Stegostoma tigrinum: one gene and its partners. The protein of the gene in region 2 binds, or shares a complex with, the protein of the main gene of each other region. Links are inferred from orthologs where the notes say so. Each region holds a gene or a part of one and is shown on either strand. Other genes may lie near its edges.

Region 1 (7,779 bases), on a different chromosome or scaffold from region 2:
CTCAGCTCCTTTCCTCCCTCCCCCAACAATGATAGCGTTCCCTTTGTCTTCACCTATCATCCCACCAACAGCCACATCCAGAGGATCATTAGTCACCATTTCCACCACCTCCAGCAGGATGCTACCTCCAGACACATATTCCCCTGCTCTCCCTTCTTCTGCAAGGACTAATCCCTCAAAGACTCCCTGGTCAGCTCCTCCTTCACTCCCAACACACCCCCACAGCCACACAGCACCTTTGCCTCCACTGAACCTGAAACATTAACTCTGATTTCACTCCACAGATGCTGCCAGACCTGCTGAGATTTACCAGCAATTTTTTGTTTTTGTTTCAGATTTCCAGCACCTCCAGCAGAAATTGAAACAGAATCCCTGCAGTGTGGACGCAGGCCATTTAGCCCATCAATTCCACACCAAACGTCTGAAGAGCATCTCACCCAGATCCACCCCCACTCTATGTCAATAACCCTCCATTTGCCGTGGCTAATCCACCTAACCTGCACATCCCTGGACACCATAGTCAATTTCTCATGGCCAATTCACCTAACCTACATATCTTTCAACTGTGGAAGGAAACCAGAGCATCTGGAGGAAACCCACGCAGAATCAGGGGGATTGTTACAGTCACCCAAGGTTGGAATTGAACCCGGATCCCTGACACTGGGAAGCAGCAGGGCTAACCACTGAACCACTGTGCTGCCCATTTTGGCTCTTATGGGATTTTTTTTTAGTTAAAATTCTGATTCCCTTATAAAACTCCCTGACATGCAAATACAGACAGATATAGCTGGACAAAAAGGATCATGGGTGGAGGGGAAAAACTGAGAAAACAGGTATTTGGTTCTTGTCCACAGGGTTCCATGAAATGATCCTTTTCCTTGTCAGGACTTAGTGTTCTCCATTCTCTCCCCTCCAGGCACTTTCACCTTCTTGCAGGAAGCACAGAGTGACTGATTCACAAATTGCAAAGTCTCTTACTTACTGGTTACTAGCCACAGCTTATACTAATGGGTGAGGAAAAAATAAAATGAAATTCTTTAAGGTTTGGGTGTACCTGTATTCATTTTTACTGCGCAGAGAGACAGATAAAGCCATTCTGGATGTCTAAAGCTATCTTCAAACCAATTACATAGTTGTTGGCAGGCAGATGTCCTTTATCAGTGATAATGGGAACTGCAGATGCTGGAGAATCCAAGATAATAAAATGTGAGGCTGGATGAACACAGCAGGCCCAGCAGCATCTCAGGAGCACAAAAGCTGACGTTTCGGGCCTAGACCCTTCATCAGAGAGGGGGATGGGGTGGGGGTTCTGGAATAAATAGGGAGAGAGGGGGAGGCGGACCGAAGATGGAGAGAAAAGAAGATAGGTGGAGAGGAGAGTATAGGTGGGGAGGTAGGGAGGGGATAGGTCAGTCCAGGGAAGACGGACAGGTCAAGGAGGTGGGATGAGGTTAGTAGGTAGGAGATGGAGGTGCGGCTTGGGGTGGGAGGAAGGGATGGGTGAGAGGAAGAACAGGTTAGGGAGGCAGAGACAGGTTGGACTGGTTTTGGGTTGCAGTGGGTGGAGGGGAAGAGCTGGGCTGGTTGTGTGGTGCAGTGGGGGGAGGGGACGAACTGGGCTGGTTTTGGGATGCGGTGGGGGAAGGGGAGATTTTGAAGCTGGTGAAGTCCACATTGATACCATTGGGCTGCAGGGTTCCCAAGCGGAATATGAGTTGCTGGGTATCAATGGTATCAATGTGGAAGTTCCACATTGATACCCAGCAGCTCATATTCCGCTTGGGAACCCTGCAGCCCAATGGTATCAATGTGGACTTCACCAGCTTCAAAATCTCCCCTTCCCCCACCGCATCCCAAAACCAGCCCAGTTCGTCCCCTCCCCCCACTGCACCACACAACCAGCCCAGCTCTTCCCCTCCACCCTGTGCATCCCAAAACCAGTCCAACCTGTCTCTGCCTCCCTAACCTGTTCTTCCTCTCACCCATCCCTTCTTCCCACCCCAAGCCGCACCTCCATCTCCTACCTACTAACCTCATCCCACCTCCTTGACTTGTCCGTCTTCCCTAGACTGACCTATCCCCTCCCTACCTCTCCACCTATCTTTTCTCTCCATCTTCGGTCCACCTCCCCCTCTCTCCCTATTTATTCCAGAACCCTCACCCCATTCCCCTCTCTGATGAAGGGTCTAGGCCCGAAACGTCAGCTTTTGTGCTCCTGAGATGCTGCTGGGCCAGATGTCCTTTATCATTGACAACTGGTCACCAGACCAATCAGCCACTTGTCGCGAGCTGAATCTCACCTTATACACAGTCCATAGTACCAGGTGTCTGCAATCAACTCCCTGTACTGGTTAAACAAAGCAACAATGTAACTTAAAATAAGTGTTGGTGTCTTACTTTAAAAAGTGCAGCAATCCCTTCTACAATCCTTGGTTTTTAAAACAGTCCTTTACTCATTGCAGTCCACAATCAAAAATATAGTGAAATAAAAGTAATATTGAGCAGGTTAGATTTTGATCCTAAATCGTATACAACTGAGACTTCAGAATTCAAGTAAACATGAGGTACACATGAGTTTACATAAAAATTATGATCTAATACTCCACTCATTTGTGGGCTTCCTTCCCTTGACTTCCAACTTGTTTGGGTTAACAGTGGTTCCTTTTAGCTCCAAATGTTTCCAAGATATGGAGCCAAATTCCCTGGGACTTATCCTAAGCCATAATTGCTTGTAATTTGCAAGTTTCTTATGATTTAACAATCTCCCAGTTCCGAAATGTAATTCACATCTATCAGCAAACAATGCACACATGAATTTTTAAGCTCTCTGCATCTACATTTTGGCATAACCTGACGTTTCCTGTTTACTTTTAGGTTAAATTAACTCTAACTCCCTCTAGACAAGTATTACTGCAAGCATTGCAGCCAGTTAAGAACGCCCATCCATTGTTTTTCAGCTGTATCTGTTCTATTTTGATTTTATGAAAAAAGCGGTAATCTTCAAAACTAACATTTGCCTTAAGTATTCTGACAATCACCAAGGCCCAACATTTCAAATTGCCTCAGAGATAATGGGAACTGCAGATGCTGGAGATTCCAAGATAATAAAATGTGAGGCTGGATGAACACAGCAGGCCAAGCAGCATCTCAGGAGCACAAAAGCTGACGTTTCGGGCCTAGACCCTTCATCAGATGAAGGGTCTAGGCCCGAAACGTCAGCTTTTGTGCTCCTGAGATGCTGCTTGGCCTGCTGTGTTCATCCAGACTCACATTTTATTATCTATTTCAAATTGCCAGCTGTTAACCTGTCAAAGCAACAGTATACCTATCTTTTAACTGTACTTGAGTTCAAAGTGCTTCAGTTGCATTTATCCCATTTTCCTGTTTCAAACTTTCATATCATTAGTAATTTATATGATAGCATATGAACCATTAACTATATATCTGCAACACCACAGACACCTCCCACTCCCTCTGTGCATTTATAGTCAGAAAGAATACCCACTTTTTCTGTGAGATTGTATGATCAGGTTTGGAGTATACCGTATCCTTTTCTCATCCCATACCTCCACCTGTCACAACAAATTTAAATTTAGCCAGGTTGGTAATCTGGCCAACTATAAAGGTTTCACACTGTATCAGGTATGTTTCAGTATTAAGAACAAGTCAGCCAGGTTTCTCCACTCAACAACAAATAACTGCTTTAGTACCAAAGTTAAACATGTTCAAACAAAAAAATTTCAGACTATTGACAAGCATTTTAGATGATACAAATATTCCTGTTAAAAAATACATACACATAAACACATCCAAGTCTGAGGGGCAACAAAAAGGAAACATTCTGCAGTGTTAACTTTAAAGTGCTTTTTCCAAGTAATAGTTCAGCTCATTAAGACATTATAGATCATAAATTGTCCCGAATGGTTTTCTGATTCCAAAGTTATTCTACATACACAACCTGCAGGCACTGATGTGTCTTTCTGGAATGGTTGTACTGACTGAATTGTCTTTGTTCAAATGGTGCGGGTAGATTCCAACTAATCCTTTCCACTCATCCACCAACGTGGTAAAGGTGACTTTTGGCAGGTTGACAGCTGACGCACTGAGATGAGATGAGATGCAGAGAAAGAAGACGGAGCAATAGGCTGTTGATCTTCACACAGGTCAAATTGCTTCTGACTGAGTTCAAAAACAGAATAGTCTGATTCCACTCACAACCTGGGCCACGCCACCTCTCCCTGAAATTCCAGACATGTGTAAGCTCTCTGCTCCAGTAGGTGCAACATAATTGCTGTTGTACACAGAACCTTTCCTTATCCAAGTGTTCTTTGTTCAAGATATAAGTATATATGAGTCCACAATAATACCTATAAAAGATAATATTTGGATCACATCTCTAGCATTCAATTTATATCCCAGAAACAACACCCTCTCTCTCTTTCTGTCTCTATGAGTGATTGACCCAGAGGCAGTACCCTCTGCAGTGGGTTACGGACCCATGTTCAGAGTCGTCTGCACTAGATAGTTGACCCAGATAATATGTCCTTTGCACTGGGTGACTGACCCAGAGACAGTGCCCTCTGCACTTGGTGATTGACCCAGAGACTGTGCTCTTTGAACTAGTGAAATGACCCACAGACAGGGCCCTCTGCACTGGGTGACTGATCCAGAGGTGGCGCTGTCTCTCCCCCACTCAGTGAATGGATGAGAAGATGGAGCATGCGCAGTGCTCACTACTGCTCCGTTTGGTGCCGAGGCGGCGGACGAGTATAGGTTTCATCCGTCGCTTTAACTGGTCGGATCCAGCCGGTTTGTTTTCTCCGTTCCCGTTAACCCATAATCGGCTGTCGAGATGTACGATCCGGACGACGGTGAGGGTGAGTGGTGCTGGCTTTCCATGCTTTTTTTTAAAATCCGTACGTTTTGCGGAGTTTAAAATGGCGGATGTTGAGGTGGGTTGGCGCCGGCTCTGGGAGCCTGGCCTAAGGCCTCGGCCTGACCCTCCAGCCCAGGTGCTGACTTCAGCCCTGATTTTTCTGTTGGGGCCTTTGAGGGGAGACGCAAACCGCCAGCCGTCTTCTAGTCACTGAGCTGCTATGTGACCTGATCCAGAGAGGCTTTTTTGACTCTAAGCTCCCAGGGGTTGGAGGGAAGTTGCTGACATGCACCAATTTGTGCACGAAGGTCTATAAACGTCACTTATAGGCAACATGGTCAGCCGCGGGCTTGATTCTAGTCCAACTTAAAGAGACATGTTAAAGTCCATCGTTTAGGTTGACACACTGCTGCAGCTGACGGGGAATGTTGAATTGCCAGCAGGTGCTGTCTTTCAGATGATGGTGTGCTTGCCCCCTCAAAATAAATATTGCCCCATAAAGTACCCCATTGTACCACAGAAAGAGGGGTAGGGGAGTTCTGACCTTCAACCAACTTCATTGCAGCTGTTATCATTATTGTTTGCTATGATCTGTACGTTATAACAATGATTGTTCTTTTAAAGGTCTTAGTGTGTGGTGTTTGTTATGTTTGTGTTTTTGTTCTCTGCCACTGAAGCAGTTAATTCAGCACATCTATTGTGTTCTCTTCCACCTTTCAGGCTTCCAGTAAGGATAATCATACTTTCATTGGTCCTTTGTTCTGGGTATTGTTGTGGCTCTTACACTTGATATAGTCCCTGTCTTTGTTTTCTCAATGCTAGGGAAGAAAGTTTTTAATGTTTGTGGCACCCACCTGGTTAAGTTGTTTAATGTCAGATTTGACTGGACCACATCAAGCAGTATTAAGCCAAGACACGCAAGAGCAGGCCTGAGTGTTAAATATTCCTGGGTACGATGCTTAGAAGAGAGAGGAGAGGAGGATTGATGATATTATTGGTTAAGGAGTGCAATGCATTGTTGGAGAAAGAGGAGGTCCCAGAGGATTCAGGGACAGAATCTGGTTAGAGCTGAGGAACAAAAAAGGATGCAAGTACATTGCTTGGTATAGCCCATAACATCCAACTTATGGAAAGGATAAACAAATCAGGAAAATTACAGAGAAATTGCAACACTACTGTTATAATTGGGGATTTCTGCTGCCAAAATGTAGACTGCGACAGTGGTAGTGTTAAGGATACAAAAGGGCAAAAATGTTCCTCAATTGTTATCTAGAAAGATTTTCTCTAGCAGTATATATTCAGTGCAACCAGAAAGTACATTGCTGAACATCCACAACTTCCACGCCCTTCTGCTGGCTAACATTGTAAGTAATTCCCTGTCCTTGAGTATGCTATATTAAATGTTTAGTCCTCATCCTCAGGAGAAAAAAAACAATTTCATTGCCACTGTCCTCGTAAACTACTGATCTGTCTGCATTCTCCTTTTCCACTCTAGAATGTTTGAACATGTTATCATTTCTGAAATCCATGAATTGCTATTGTTGTCTTATACTTGTGACTCACCTGACATCCATCCTTTCTTATTTCATGGATATTGTTGCTCAATGCCACCTTGATTGAAGTCATTGATTGCCATTGGTGATCACTTCATATCTGCGAGGTAAGCTCAGGGTGGATTGAACATTTCCAGTCACTTCTAGGCTGCCCAACCGTGAGTCTTGTCTCTGTCTTGCCTCAGCCGACTTCTGTGTCGTGATGTGTCTAGCACTGATATTTCGGCCACAAGTTCAGTGATAGTTCAGGCATCCCTTCATTTATAATGATGGAAGGATGAGTCTCCAAGTAAAAAATCTCCAATACATTTATGTCCTTTCTTTTAAAGAAACTGAGACCAAGACTGCTCCAGAGGTAGTCTCACTCATGCCCTAAATAAGTGAAGCATTACCTTCTACTTTTATACTAAATTCTCCTTGCAATGAACAAGAAAGATTTTAGCTTTTCTAATTATTTGCTATACCTGGACACTTCTTGAGATTTATGTACAAAGGCATCCAGATTCCTCTTAATTTCTGAGCTCTGCTACTTCTCACCATCTAGATAACGTTTTTCCTTTATTCCTCCTTTCCTCATGTTGCATTCATTCAGCCTCAGTTGTAATGATGCCATTTAGTGCCGCAGCCTCATGGATTGCAATTTAAAAGTGTGTTCCCATTTAACAAAATGATCACTTAATCGCATCATCTGTATCAGGGGTTTTAAACAAAAAGGTCTATCAACCCAAATTCATTAGTAGACATAATTTATGGGTTTTTTATCAAAACAGAATTCAGCAAAAGTGTAATCATTGATTAATGTGCACAGTGGACTAGAAATAAGTGTTTATTCCCATAAACATTCCCCAAGACTCACGTGCAAGCTCACTTCCACGTTTTCTTCAGGAAAACGTAAAACAAAGATTCCACTGCAATGAATTGTTTTTTGAATAAAGCTTTGAAAAGGGGCTATTCTGAAAGACAAAAGGACAAAACATAAAGTTGTTTCAGAGTTTGTTGCTCTGATGTCTTGACGTGTACGGTCATCATTAATTATGCATTGTTGTTTCTGCCCACAAGCAGAGTTTGCTCAAGAAATAGTCTTGTCATGTTCTTTCAGTCACTTTCAAAAAAGCAAATGGTTTTCACTCTTAATACGGTGAGTTTTCTTTTCAGAAGTGGAAAAGAACACCTGGGCAGCTTCTTAGCAGGATTCCCTCCAATTCGAATGTTTCTTAGGAGGCTTTCTTCCATCTGAACCAGATCAGACAAGAACCACTTCAAGTCAGTTACTGTTCAACCCTAGTGTGGTCAACAGCAGTTCTTCCTGAACACTTTCCCACTGTGACCCCCATCTTGATACTCGAAAAT
Region 2 (6,934 bases):
GGGGACTCCATAGTTAGGGGGGCAGATAGGAGATTCTGTGCGAACGAGAGAGACTCACTGTCGGTGTGTTTTGCCTCTCAGGTGCCAGGGTCTGTGATGTCTCAGATCATGTTTTCGGGAACCTTAAGGGGGAGGGGAAGCAGCCCCAAGTCATGGTCCACATAGGCACCAACGACATATGAAGGAAAAGGGACGGGGATGTAAGGCAGAAATTCAAGGAGCTAGGTTGGAAGCTTAGAGCTAGAACAATCAGAGTTGTTATCTCTGGGGCTCATTCTGGGGTAGGTGGGACTTCTGCAAACGGGATGGTCTACACCTGAACCAGAGGGGCACCAATATCCTGGGGGGGAATTTGCTAATGTTCTTCGGGAGGGTTTAAACTAATTCAGCAGGAGGATGGGAACCTGAACTGTAGCTCCTGTGTCCAGGAGGTTGAGAGTAGTGAGATCACGAATAAGGTTTTACGGTCACAGAAGGGTACCGGCAGGAAGAAAGGTGGTTTGAAGTGTGTCTACTTCAATGCCAGGAGCATCCGCAATAAGATGGGTGAACATGCAGCATGGGTTGGTACCTGGGACTCGATGTTGTGGCCATTTCGGAGACATGGATAGAGCAGGGACAGGAATGGTTGTTGCAGCTTCTGGGATTTAGATGTTTCATTAAGATCAGGGAAGGCGGTAAAAGAGCGGGGAGGTGTGGCATTGTATTACAGTTGCAGAAAGGACGTTCAATGAGGACTCATCTACTGAGGTAGTATGGGCTGAGGTTAGAAACAGGAAAGGAGAGGTCACCCTGTTGGGAGTTTTCTATAGGCCTCCGAAAAGTTCCAGAGATGTAGAGGAAAGGATTGCAAAGATGATTCTGGATAGGAGCAAAAGTAACAAGGTAGTTGTTATGGGGGACTTTAACTTTCCAAATATTGACTGGAAACGCTATAGTTAGAGTACTTTAGACGGGTCAGTTTTTGTCCAATGTATGCAGGAGGGTTTCCTGACACAGTACGTAGATAGGCCAACGAGAGGCGAGGCAACATCGGATTTGGTATTGGGTAATGAACCAGGCCAGGTGTTAGATTTGGAGGTAGGTGAGCACTTTGGTGATAGTGACCACAATTCAGTTACGTTTACTTTAGCGATGGAAAGGGATAGGTATATTCTACAGGGGAAGAGTTATAGCTGGGGGAAAGACAATTATGAGGCGATTAGGCAAGATTTAGGATGCATAGGATGGGGAAGGAAACTGCAGGGGCGGGGCACAATTGAAGTGTGGAGCTTGTTCAAGGAACAGCTACTGCGTGTTCATGATAAGTATGTACCTGTCAGTCAGGGAGTAAGTGGCCGAGTGAGGGAACCGTGGTTTACTAAAGAAGTTGAATCTCTTGTCAAGAGGAAGAAGGAGGCTGATGTAAAGATGAGGCGTGAAGACTCAGTTAAAGCACTTGAGAGTTACAAGTTAGCCAGGAAGGACCTAAAGAGAGCTAAGCAGAGCCAGGAGGGGACATGAGAAATCTTTGGCAGGTAGGATCAAGGAAACCCCTTTAGCCTAGGGCAGTGATAAACTTGGTTTCAGTTTGCACAGCTGAGGAGCTATCAACAGAGGGGCTACATCCCGACAGTGAAAGACTTTTGGTTCCCTCCCCCCGTCTTGTTGAGGCCAAAAACGAGACGCAAACGGGCACACAAAAAGTGAGCAGCACACTAACTTCACACAGACACACACATATCCCTGTAATGACACACACATGTGAAATCCTCAATCAAATCAACACCAAACAACAAAACAAGAGAAAAACAATCAGTCCCGGGGATTACCGTGAGGCCTTAGCGGAAGTTCGCCGAGTGCAGATTGGCTGTCGTGTTCCCTACGCTGAAATAACCGTGAGCACTCTGGGATACCTGAGATATCCTGTGAAAGGCACCATTGCAAACACATGACTTTATTTTCATGCATTTATACAGCATGGAACCAGGCCCTTTGGTCCAACCAGTCCATGTCGACCATAACCCCAAACTAAACTAGTCTGACCTGCCTGCTCGTGGCACATATCCTTCTAACCATTCCTATTCAGGTACTTATCCAAATGCCTTTTTAATCATTGTAACTGTACACGCATCCACCCAATCACCTCTGCAAGTTCATTCACACACAAACCACACTGTTAAAAAAAAGTACTCACACCTTTTTAAAATCTTTTCTCCCCTTACCTTAAAAATATGTTCCAGAGTCTTGAAACCCCACACCCTAGATAAAAGTCACCCGCATTCACCTCATCTATGCCCCTTCTGATTTTATAAACTTCTATAAAAATCCCCTCACAACCTCCTATGCTCCAGTGAGTAATAAAAGTCCCAACCCTCTCCTTATAACCCTCCCTTGCCAGCAACATCCTGGTAAATCTTTTCTCTCCAGCTTAACTTTAGAAAGGCATACGCCGTGTTAGGTTTTATTGGTAGAGGGATTGAGTTTTGGAGCCACGAGGTCATGTTGCAGCTGTACAAAACTCTGGTGCGCCCGCACTTGGGAGTATTGCGTACAGTTCTGGTCGCCACATTATAGGAAGGATACAGAAGCATTGGAAAGGTGAATGGTGAACCCCCTCCAGCTTAACAATATCCTCCCCGTAACAGGGTGAATGGGACTCACCAATGGCCTGTACAACCTCAACAAGACGCCCCAACTCCCACACTTGAAGGCCTGAGCAATGAAGCTAAGTGTGCTAAATGCCTTCAACTCCAGCCTGTCTACACGTGTTGCAAACTTTAAAGTAGTACGTACCTGAACCCCTAGGTCTCACTGTTCTAAACACTACGTTTCGTTCTTTTAAGGTCTTAAAGAACCCTGTTTGTCCACCATCAAGTCCCATGAGTGGTAACAGTCTGTTAGTCAGCAGCACATAAAAGGAAAATCTGCAAAAGGTTCCTCCCACCTTTGTTTTTCTTGAATAGGGACAATCTCTTTCTCTCCCTCCCTCACGTTGTCACTCATAGGGAAGCTGGAAGTGAGCCCGCGCATGCGCAGGTCCCATGTCGGCGCCTGCCGACGACGTCACCAAGACGCCCGATAGACCACTTTCACGACGACGTCACCAAACGTCACGGGACTTCCGGCTCCTCCCCAGCCCCGACTCCAGCTCGTGTCCCGGGTGAAGCTGCGATCTGCCGCACAGCCAAAACAGAAACACCAACGCGGATGCTGGGAATTAGAAAAGAATGCAAGTATTACTCGAAAACAAAAACCCAGCACCTCTGACTACTAAGATAATAAAATGTGAGGCTGGATGAACACAGCAGGCCAAGCAGCCTCTCTGATGAAGGGTCTAGGCCCGAAACGTCAGCTTTTGTGCTCCTGAGATGCTGCTTGGCCTGCTGTGTTCATCCAGCCTCACATTTTATTATCTTGGAATTCTCCAGCATCTGCAGTTCCCATTACCTCTGACTACTATCTGTGGAGAGAAAGCAGAATTGACGTTTCAAGCCCAATTACCTTCATTTCACTCCGCTCTCTCTCCAACAGATAATGTCAGAGAGAAAGCAGAGTTTATTGAGGGTAACTGGACTTGAAACGCCAATTCTGCTTTCTCTCCACAGATGCTGCAGTCCTGATGATTTTATTTTGCCAGCAATTCCTGTTTCTGCACCAACGCGTAACCTCACAAATTCAAGTGACTGCTTTTACGTATTTATAGCTTATTCTGAAATGAAGGCAATGGAACTTGGCGATTTTAAATAGTGCCCTGCGTCCCCTCGAGCATCCAAATTTGTTTTGTTTTTCTATCTTGGAGTAGAGAATGCAAGACAAACCCACAAACTCTCACGTATGGCATTGCAATAACAGTTAGATTATCTAATGTGGGAATGTCAATTGGGTGACAAATATTCACCAAGTCAGTCTGAAGATTCACTGGTCTCAAAACGTTAGCTCTGCTTTCCTCCCACAGTTGCTCCTGACCTGCTGACTTTGCCAGCAATTTCTGTTTTTATTTGACACCACATTTAATTCTTTTAGAACAGGAATGTCATACGTTGAGAATGTGGGGCACAGTTAGCTCAGTGGGCTGGATGGCTGGTTTGCAATGCAATGTAACAAGATTACTCTGGTAGGTTCCATTCTGCACCAACTGATGTTATCACAAGGGACTGTTATTCTCAACATCTCCCGTCACCTGAGGCATATTGACCTTCAGGTTAAAAAGAAAGTTAAATTTCTGTCATGAGAAAACGGGACCATGGTGACTTTTACATTGTGACTAAATAGAAAACAAAACCAAAACTATTCTTTGATCTTGCAAAAGACCTTTTAAATCCTGGGAAATTGCATAAATAAACAGACAAGTGGGAAAGAAGTTTGGAACTTGTAATGTTGGTCGTTGCAAAATATATATTTTAAACTCATCTGAAATCGGCATAAGTTTGTAAAATCTCAGAAGAAAAACATTTCACAGAGGAATAAAGTTAGACCTGGTGTTCTTTCTAGGCAATTAGTGTACACAGTCTTGTCATTCTTCAAACTACACAATCAAAATGTCATTGAAAGATTAGAAATTGACAAAAATGCTTAAACTGTCATAGTCTCTGCTTTGCATTAGTTAATTGCATAATTAAACACTAATACTCAATTCTGCTCTGCCAGTCAACGTGTTCAAAGTTGATCATCCAACATAGTATCCTGTTCTCACTTTCTCCCCATACTCTTTAATCCGTTTAGCCCTAAGACTATATATAACCTCTTCTTGAGATGTCTTGGCTTCAAATGCTTTCTATGGCAAAGAATTCTATACGTTCACCACGCCCTGAGTAAAGAAATGTCTCCTCATCTTTGTCCTAAATAACCTAACCAGTACACTTAGACTGTGACCCCTGGTCCTGCACTCCCAAGTGACTGAGAACATCCTTCCTTTGTTTACCATGTCTAGTCCTTTTGAATTTTATAGCTTTCTATACGATGACCCCGTTCTTAAAAACTCTAGTGAATATAGGTCTAATCAATTTAATTTCTGTTCATCTATCAGACCTGCCATCCCAGCAACCAGCTTCGTCTTTTCATTTCCATTTCCTGCCCCTGTATTTCCATAACCACGTCATTTTCTCATCTTTTTTTTACTTTGGAATTCCAACTCCAGATTTCTCATTCTCTCCTCATGCTTGATCTTCTTCAATTTTAACGGAATATCATTTGGTTCTCAGTCTCTTATATTTCCTCTAAACCCAAATGTTGTGCTGGTACCTCAGTTATTTTGCCTTCTCAGCTTTGACATGCAATAATACCACCAGCACTTGTGTCAGGTCACTCTAACTGGGTTTTGAAATTTCCCTCAAGAACAACCCTTCTACCTGCAGGAAATCCTTTCGCGTTTTCAGTGTCATGTGTTAAATGCACAACAGAAACTGATTTTTTTTTCTTCACTTGCATTATCTCCTGCTCCCACATACAAATCCTGTATCAAATTTTATTTGGGTTGAGCTCCCAAATATTGTCACAATTCACTGGAGTAGAGCACTAGAAATGAAGCTGCACTATTCCTGGAGTTGTCACAAATGTTACAGCTATTAAGATAAATACACAAATTTCCCCAATAAGCCTGACTTTCAGACATAGGTTGATAGAAAGCAGAGCTGACTCAATGGGTTGAAGGCATAATTCCTATCTTGTTGTGGTATGGAAGTTTGCAGTTAACAAGAATTTCTATTTATTACAAATAGTTAGACTCTATTTATAGCTAAACTGCTATAAATCACTGTCATATAAAACTATAAATTAAAACTCTAATGCCCTGAGACAGACAAAAGACACACATTCCTGCTCCCTTCCCCATACTTGGATTGCTGAAATGACCCTTGAGCTGAACCCAATATTTCTGTTCAGTCATCTTTCTCCAATGCTTCCACTGGTATGCACCAAACACAAAGTGACTCATTAGCTTATAAACTGTCTCTGACATATCAACTAAAAGGCACAGCTTATAACAACTGCTGAAGGAAAGATGAACCGGTTGACTTTAAGTTTAACAAAACATGAAGAACTGTAAAATTGCTGGAGGAACTGAACTGGCAGCATCTGTGGACAAGAAACAGAGTCAATGTTTCAGGTAGAATGAGCCTTCTACAGATCTGTTTGTAGCTAGGAAAAGATGGCATATATCTGACGACAGGGCATGGCCGGGGGTGGTGTTGTGGTGCAGAAGGAGTAATGGAGATGGAGCCCAGAGAGAGAAAAAAAAAATCAGCAGTTGAGCAGACAAAGGAATGAATAAAGGTAAGCCAGGGAGGAAGAAAAACAGATAATGGGGACCATTAGTGGATGAAAATGGGTTGGCTCTGATAAAAACAGCCCATGTGATGACAGAGCCTGGGCTGTGGGGGTGGATAAAGGATATGGAAATAAGTGCTCAGGCATTAAAATGATTGAACTCAATACTGAGTCCTGAAGGCTGCAGAGGAAGATGAGATGTTGTTTTTCTTGCATGTGCTGAGCCTCACTGGAATACTGCAGCAAACCCAACACAGCGGTGCTCCAAAGGACAGCCTGCAGACCCTCAGCTTTTATTGTCCAACAGAACCATCTAGTCCTCAACCCCACCCCCCCACAATACCTTCCTCTGCCTCAGCCATCTAGTCATCACGTTCGATAACTTTTTCTTCAATTCTTCCCACTTTCTTTAAATCCAGGAAGTGGCCATGGGCAGTCGCATGGACCCCAGCTATTCCTGCCTCTTTGTGGGTTGCATGGTCCCTCTTCAGTACACACATCGATACTGTTCCTCAACTCTTCCGCCATCGCATCGATGCTGCACCCTGCATCTAGGCTGAACTGGAGCAAGTCACTGACTTCACTAACAACTTCCACCCCACCCTCAAGTTCACTTGGTCTATCTCAGACACCTCCCTCCCCTTTTCATGACCCCACTGCTTCCATTTCTGGCGACAGAAACCCAGAG
Region 3 (7,419 bases), on a different chromosome or scaffold from region 2:
AGGGGGTAAGTTTAGGGGAGCAGAGTAGGGAAAATTTTTCACACAGAGGGTGGTGGTTGCCTGGAACACACTGGCGGTGGAGGTGGTGGAAGCACTGTTTAAGATTAGCATTGTTTAAGGCATATCTTGATAGACACATGAACGGGAAGTGAACAGAGGTATAGAAAAGACTTATGGCCAATAAGAAGTGGGTCCAAATAAGGATTAGGAACTGATGCAGAGATAGTAAGAACTGCAGATGCTGGAGTCAGAAATAACAGAGTTTGGAGCTGGAGGAACACAGCAGGCCAGGCAGTTTCAGGTCAGGACCCTGCTTCAGAAATGGGGAGGGAGAAGGGAATTCAGAAATAAATAGAGAGGAGGCGTGGGGCGGGGGAAGAGGCCAGGGGTAGGCAAAATTTTGAAACTGGTAAATGGCCTAAATGTGGGTTTTACCAGTTTCAAAATTTCCCCATCCACCAAACTCGTTGCATGTCCACCCCTCCCTTCCTCCCCGCCTCCTTGACCTGACCAACCTGTCCATCTTCTCTCCCACCTGTCCGCCCCTCCCGCCTCACTGACCAATCCCCACCACTCCCTACCGGCACTCACCTATCACCATCCTACCTACCTTCCCAGCCCCACACCTCCTCTCTATTTATTTCTGAGCTTGCTTTTCCCTCCCCATTTCTGAAGAAGGATCCTGACCCAAAATGTCAACTTTTCTACTCCTCTGGTTATGCCTGGCTTGCTGTATTCCTCCAGCTCCACACTGTGTTATCTAGGAATTGATGGAGGCTCGGTGGACCGAAGGGCCTGGTCCTGTGCTATAATGTGTTGTGCTGTAGGCTGGTCCAGAAGATCAAATCACATGGAATCCATTGAGTTACCAAACTGGATACAAAATTAGCTTGGCCATAGAATACAAAGGGCAGTAATGGAGGAGTGTTTTTCTGACTGGAGGTCTGCAACCAGTAACGTTCCTCAAGAATCAGTCTGAGACCTCTGTTGTTTGTGATATAAATAAACAATGTGAATGAAAATGTCAGTGGTCTGATTATAGATTTGCAGATGACATGAAACTATTTGAGTTATGGATAGTGAGGAAGGATATCAAAGGATGCAGCAGAATATAGATCAGCTGGAAAGTTGAGCTAAGAAATGGCAGATGGAGTATAATCCCGAGGAGTACGATGTGATATATTTTCAGAGGTCAAATGAATGATAAAAGTATACAGTAAATGGTTGGACCCTTAGGTGCTTTGATATGCAGAGGGTTGTTGTGGTACAACTCCATAGTTCCTTGTCAGTGGCAACACAAGTGGATAAGGTGGTAAATAAAGCATATGGCATGTTGCCTTCATTGTTCAGGGTATTAATTATAAAAGTTGGCAAGTCATGTTGTACTTTATAAGACTTTGGTCAGGCCACATTTGGAGTACTGTGCACAGTTCTGGTTACCACAATACAGGAAGGACATGGACGCTTTGGAGAGTGTACAGAAGAGGTTTACCAGGATTGGAGTTTATGAGCTAGAAGGAGGCTGCCCAAACTTGGATTGTTTCCGCTAGAACCTCAGAGGCAACCTGATAGAAATATATAAAATTATGAGCAGTGTGGATAGAGAGAATTATTGGAATCTCTTTTCCAGCATGGAAATGTCAAATACAAGAGGACATAAGTTGAAAGTGAGAGGGATAAAGTTTAAGGGAAGTATTAAGGAAATTGCGCCTTGTAGATGGTGCTCAGGCTTTGGGGAATCAGGAGGTGAATCCTGCAATATTCCTAGTCACTGCCTGTTGTTTTAGCCACTGCACTTATATTTTAATTAATCTGATTTGACGTTAGAATTGGAATTAGGTTTACTGTAACATGTACTCAAGTTGAGGGATGTATGAATATGCATGAACAGGGATATGGAAAAGACCTACGGCCAATAAGAAATGGGTCCAAATAAGGGTTAGAAATTGATGCAGAGATAGTAAGAACTGCAAAAGTGAAAAGTATACAAATTTGCCATTTCCAGTCCATCTTAGGTACAAAAATACCTAGGTATAAAATGTTAGGTATAAACTAGAAAAATAAAGAAACAAAGTTCAGCAATACAGTTTTTCTAAAGGAGGGAGTCCATGCTGGGCATCAGCTCAAGGCCGGGAGTCCAATGCTGGGCTTCCGCGAGGCCAAGAGTCTCCTGAGTCCATGCTGGCTCAATTCTCCACCACCGATGCCATCTGAAAAATGGAGGTAAATACAGACAAAAGGAAAAAGATGAAAAGCCACGGACTTAGGAGCCATCTTGAAGGCACTGGTAATAGGTGTGAAAGAGAAGTAAAGTTGTAAATTGAGGTGTTCAGATCTACAGCAAGCTAAAACACATTAATGGGAGGTGATGGCTGAGTGGTATTATTGCTAAATAATCAATCTGGGTAACTAGGTCATGTTCTAGGGACTTGGGCTTAAAACCTGCCGTAGGCAGGTGGTGGAGGTGATAATGGGAACTGCAGATGCTGGAGAATCCAAGATAATAAAATGTGAGGCTGGATGAACACAGCAGGCCCAGCAGCATCTCAGGAGCACAAAAGCTGACGTTTCGGGCCTAGACCCTTTCTGATGAAGGTTCTAGGCCCGAAACGTCAGCTTTTGTGCTCCTGAAATGCTGCTGAGCCTGCTGTGTTCATCCAGCCTCACATTTTATTATCGTGGTAGGTGGTGGAACTTGAATTCAATGAAAATCCAGAACTAAAAATCTAATGATCTTGATTGTCACAAAAAAATACTCATCTGGTTCACTCATGTCCCTTAGGGGAGGAAATCTCCCATCCTTTCTTGGCCTGGCCTGCTGACTCCAGATCTAAAGCAATGTGGGTAAGTATGGGCACTGAAAGCTGGCCTAGCCAGCTATGTCTACATACTATGAATAAATTTTAGAAAAAACTCAGTGAGGAGAGGGGTGGAACATGATTTTTTTTGACCTCTTATCATGATCTTATTTGTTGGTGGAGCAGACTTTACGGACTGAATCTGCTCCTCTGGCAAAGGCAATGACCCATCAGTTTTACCATTTTAATTAAAAGCTTGAATTCAAAGACTAATGATGACCAGTGAAACCACTGTCAAAAAAACTATTTAGTTCACTAATGCCCTTTTAGTGAAGGAAATCTGCCATCCTTACCTGGTTTGGCCTATATGTGACTCCAGGCCCACAGCAATGTGGTTGATTCTTGACTGTTCTCTGGGGCAGAGCAGCTGGGGCTCAACAATGAATGCTGACCCACCTAGAGACGCATTCATCCCGTGTATGAAGTTTAATAAAAAGTTAATGTTTTCCTGGGGAAGGGAGTGCACAATTCAAGGTGCAAGCATGGTTTCTATAGTCTGTCTTGGTGAAAGAAATGTTCAAGAGATTTATTGATCGATTTGATTTATTGTCACATGTATTTTGTTACAAAACACAATGAAAAGAGTTGCGTAGCGTCACCACTCTCCGGCACCATCTTAAAACGCAGAAAGATGAATCATAACGTGGAATATAAAGGTGGAAAAATGAAGAAATGAAGTTCAACTTTGTAGTCCGTCTTGTTGAGTGCTTAGCCATGGGCATGTACCCTCGCCGTGCTGCCAGAACATGAATCGCCACTCTTCGATGTCATCTTGCCTCCACCAACACTGCTGCCACAATTAATCCTCACCATGTCCCATACCAGGCCAAACTCAACTCCACCACTGCCAAGAGCCTGCTCTGGGCCCAGGTCTGCCTCCACCACTGCCTCCACGAGTCTGTGCTGGACACAGATGCCATGGGCAACACAAATTTCACCTCCACCCATGGTTTAGGTGGCATGGTGGCTCAGTGGTGAGCACTGCTGCCTCACAGCTCCAGGGACAGGGGTTAAATCCCAGCACTGGGGGCCCTGTGGGGTTTGCATGTTCTCCCCATGTCTGCGTGGGTTTCCTTCAGGTGCTCTGTGCCTCGCACAATCCAAAGATGGGTAGATTAGGTGGGCTGACTTTTCCAAATTTGCCCACGGTGTCTGGGCGGGCCAGCCATGGGAAATGCAGCGACAGAGCGGGCTGAATCTGGTGGGTGGGGGAGATGGGATGCTCTTCGATGGGCCCAAAGGCCTACTTTCCGCAACCGGGGGTGGGGGGGGAAGGGGGGGTGAATTCGATGGTGGTTTGTTGTTGTGGAAATCCAGGGTTAAACATGGCAGCGGCAGGAGAGCGGGAACGGAAATACTACAACTCCCGGCATGCCCGGCGGAGGTAGCAGGACCCGGATGTGTCCGTGGGTACTCTCGCGAGATGAGGGCGGTGGGGTTTGGTTTGTTGGTTGGGTGCGGGGGCGGGGGAGCGAAGACAAGCGCTGACGCAGCGCCTCATTTGCCGGACCCTCCCTATAGCGGCAATTGAAGCTCCATTCGGCAGTATATAAGCGCTCGCTGGAAGAGGACGGACGGCTTTCCCAAGCCCGCTTCAGGCAGCACCGCCAAAAATCAATTTTAATCGCTTTTATTTTTGTTTTAAAAAAAAATCTTTTTCTTGACCAAAAAACAAACCACCTCATCTGGATATTTCATTTAAATTCTCCTCCGTATCCACATGGCGAGTTCGGCCAACTCAAACCCGGTGGTAAGATTTTTTTGTGTGTTGAGTGTGGTTGTTTTTTTAAATCCTCCGAAATAAAAGAGACTTTAAGATGGGAACCATTTTATATATTTTTAAAAAAATTATATCTATGCTCTTCATTAAAATCTGCTTTTTCCACTCCCGAGGATGAAAACAATTTTTTCTCTCTACTTTTTTATTTTAAGAAAAACCAAACGTGAAAAGTAATGTTTTGCTTTTGTTTTCTGTCTGGGGAAATTTTGAAGCAAAATTCAGCAAAGCGGAAAACTTGTTGGCATTTGAAAAGGGGGGGAAGGAACAAAAACTTCCCTTTTTTTAAAAGGAAAACAAGATTTGACTCCCTTTCTCAACATTTTTAAAAATAATTAGCGGAGCAAAGCAAGCCATATCTTGGACAAACTGACTGGATTTTTGTCAGGAGCTGTGGCTGGAGTTTTAGTTTTTACAAGCAGATTTTTTGAGGGGGGGTGGTGAGGGAGAAAACACTTCCCTCCTTTCTCTCCTGTAAAAATTTCTTTTGTCTGGACTAGTAACTACATTTTTAAGCTGAGGTGCTTTCTAAAGTGGCTTGGGAAAGAAATGGAGTGGGGGAGAAAGTGGTGGGTGAATGGTTCAATTTTTGGGTTGCACATCAAAATGAATGGTAATTTTTTTTAAATAAAAAGTTGAATTCATGAGGTGGTTTCACCTGGAAAAATCACAATTCAAGAACTGCTTTTGCTAATTGTGTGTCAAGTTTGAAACTAAGAAAAGTGCTAAGGTTTTCTTTTGGTAAGCTGTCAGGATATTACAGGCTCATGTCTGATTTAAGTTTTAGCTTTTAAAAACTTGTACTTTTGAAGGTAAATATATAACCTTTATTTTACAAAAGGAATAAAACTGAAACACCAACACACCCCTGCTGATCCCTCTAGAGAAACAGATGGAGCCTGCACTATTTGCTGATGAACCATTTTGTTTTCTGGCTGACTTTTTACAAATTTTTGTGTTGTTGGTCTGAAGGAGGCACGAGATGCTTTCCTTTCCCTGTTTCAGGGCCCCTAAGACTTTGGTTTTAGTCCTGTCCCCCTTCCTTTTGTGGCCAATCTGGTGAATCGGTCTCTCTGCTCCATAAGCTAATGTTTTGTGGAGGGTGGCCTGTTGTTTGTGCCTTCCTTCCCCTTGCTTCTGTCTTTCCTCCCCCTCCTAGATGGTCTCCTCTATTATAATCTCGGTTGCACGGTGGGGATGTGCTTGCCAGCTCTACGTCATGAGGAGGGGGGGGGGGTCCCCTTTGCATATGAGGTCAGACTGCAAGGGCTGTGCAAGAAAGCAGGGAGAGAGGGAGGCTTAACAGCAGCTGTGAGGCCCAAGGGTAAACTGCCTGCTTAAGTATGTTCCCTTGATCGGTTTTAGGCTGTGACTTATCTACCTTCTTTCTGACAAACCTTCTGCCCTCCACCCTTATCCCTGGTCCCCTCACTGTTTTTCTGTTCTGTCAGAGGCTGTGAGCTTTCCTTCAACGGTGAGCTCCTGCAGGCTTGGCTATGCTGTAGTGTTCTTTCTGAGAATGTGAATTCAGACTGCAAGCAGCATCTTTTATAGATCAGGGTGTTTTTCTTTGCATTTGTAATTCAACCAAGATGTGTGTAACTATTTTATTAAAACCACAATACTTCTGATACTGAAAATCTGAAGCAAATGCATTTGCCAATTCAGTTTTTTACTCCAGTGCAATGTTGACAACTCATTATCAGGAATGACCCTTTTTCTAAAAGTAGATGAATATTTGTAACAGTGGTTGCTGTGGTTGAATTTACATAGTCCATGATGGCAGGTAAGGGCAACCCAGTGGAATGAATTGGATAGCTCTTCCTCAAAGCACTAGTAAAGGAAAAATGGACCAAATGGCATTTCTCACTTGATTTCAGCATTACTGGTACGTGATGAAGTTCCATTTTAGAGAATATTTAGAACTCTGTCTTGGTGGGAATCATCATCTTATTTATACATTTGTGTAGCATTAAGCAAAAAGTTCTTAGCTTGTATTCATCTAAATGGTTAGACTTGTATGGTTATTTCAAAATGTCATCTTTAAATTTCTTTAAATTCTTGGCATTTTCAGAAGTCTTGCAATTTAAACAGTTCTTAATATTTGAGCAGGGAAATGTTAACTTCCCAATACAAGTGTCGGAGCTGTGAGGAAGAATAGAAGTAGATCAGTGTCTTGGCCTATTTCTACTGTTTAATTAGGCCAAGCTGAGTGGAGGCAATCTTTACTCTTTTAAAATTTTGCCCAGCAAGGATGTCAATTGACCCAGCATTCCTGACACTTTGAAGATTAGATTTCCAGTATCCTTTGTGGAAAATTTGCTTTCTGATGTTTGTTCTGACTGACATAGCTCTCATTTAAGATTATGGACTTTTCCCAGCAAACAAAATGGCTTCTCTCTACACAATTGCCTCAGTTATTTGAAATGTCTTGATTTAGCAGTTCACAACCATCTAAACATGAGACTACAAGCCAATGTTGTGAAACTTGTCATGATGTCTCTGGGTGTAGTAGGTCAATTTGTACACTTCAGAAGCAAGTTTTGAGGTCTATAATTGCATATGCTACTCCAGATAAGAACTAATCAAACTCTGTCAAACAGAAGCACTGCTTCCTCACTTTTGAATTCCACTTGCTGTTGGATAAAGGGCAACATGTGCTAACTAAGTTAGTAAGAACTGCAGATGCTGGAGGATCACAGGCCAGGCAGCATTGTAGGATCAGGAAAGCTGATATTTCTGGTTGGGACTCTTCTTCAGAAATGGGGAGTTGGAGGGGAGCTC

The links.
Region 1: gtf2h4 (region 2) and polr2b share a complex: the UniProt entries of both Homo sapiens proteins name them as parts of the TBP-based Pol II pre-initiation complex. The link is inferred for Stegostoma tigrinum from reciprocal best matches to the Homo sapiens genes GTF2H4 and POLR2B.
Region 3: gtf2h4 (region 2) and gtf2a1 share a complex: the UniProt entries of both Homo sapiens proteins name them as parts of the TBP-based Pol II pre-initiation complex. The link is inferred for Stegostoma tigrinum from reciprocal best matches to the Homo sapiens genes GTF2H4 and GTF2A1.

Annotation. Positions count from the first base shown.
Region 1 is NC_081354.1:16,642,767-16,650,545, reverse strand, and holds the start of polr2b (DNA-directed RNA polymerase II subunit RPB2), read left to right. Parts: upstream 1-4,717; 5' UTR 4,718-4,852; coding exon 4,853-4,877; intron 4,878-7,779. UniProt on the Homo sapiens protein: Catalytic core component of RNA polymerase II (Pol II), a DNA-dependent RNA polymerase which synthesizes mRNA precursors and many functional non-coding RNAs using the four ribonucleoside triphosphates as substrates.
Region 2 is NC_081387.1:14,072,008-14,078,941, reverse strand, and holds the start of gtf2h4 (general transcription factor IIH subunit 4), read right to left. Parts: upstream 3,027-6,934; 5' UTR 2,927-3,026; intron 2,921-2,926; exon of another isoform or gene 2,776-2,920; intron 1,906-2,775; exon of another isoform or gene 1,812-1,905; intron 1-1,811. UniProt on the Homo sapiens protein: Component of the general transcription and DNA repair factor IIH (TFIIH) core complex, which is involved in general and transcription-coupled nucleotide excision repair (NER) of damaged DNA and, when complexed to CAK, in RNA transcription by RNA polymerase II.
Region 3 is NC_081363.1:9,877,727-9,885,145, forward strand, and holds the start of gtf2a1 (transcription initiation factor IIA subunit 1), read left to right. Parts: upstream 1-4,394; 5' UTR 4,395-4,578; coding exon 4,579-4,608; intron 4,609-5,228; exon of another isoform or gene 5,229-5,245; coding exon of another isoform or gene 5,246-5,248; intron 5,249-7,419. UniProt on the Homo sapiens protein: TFIIA is a component of the transcription machinery of RNA polymerase II and plays an important role in transcriptional activation. TFIIA in a complex with TBP mediates transcriptional activity.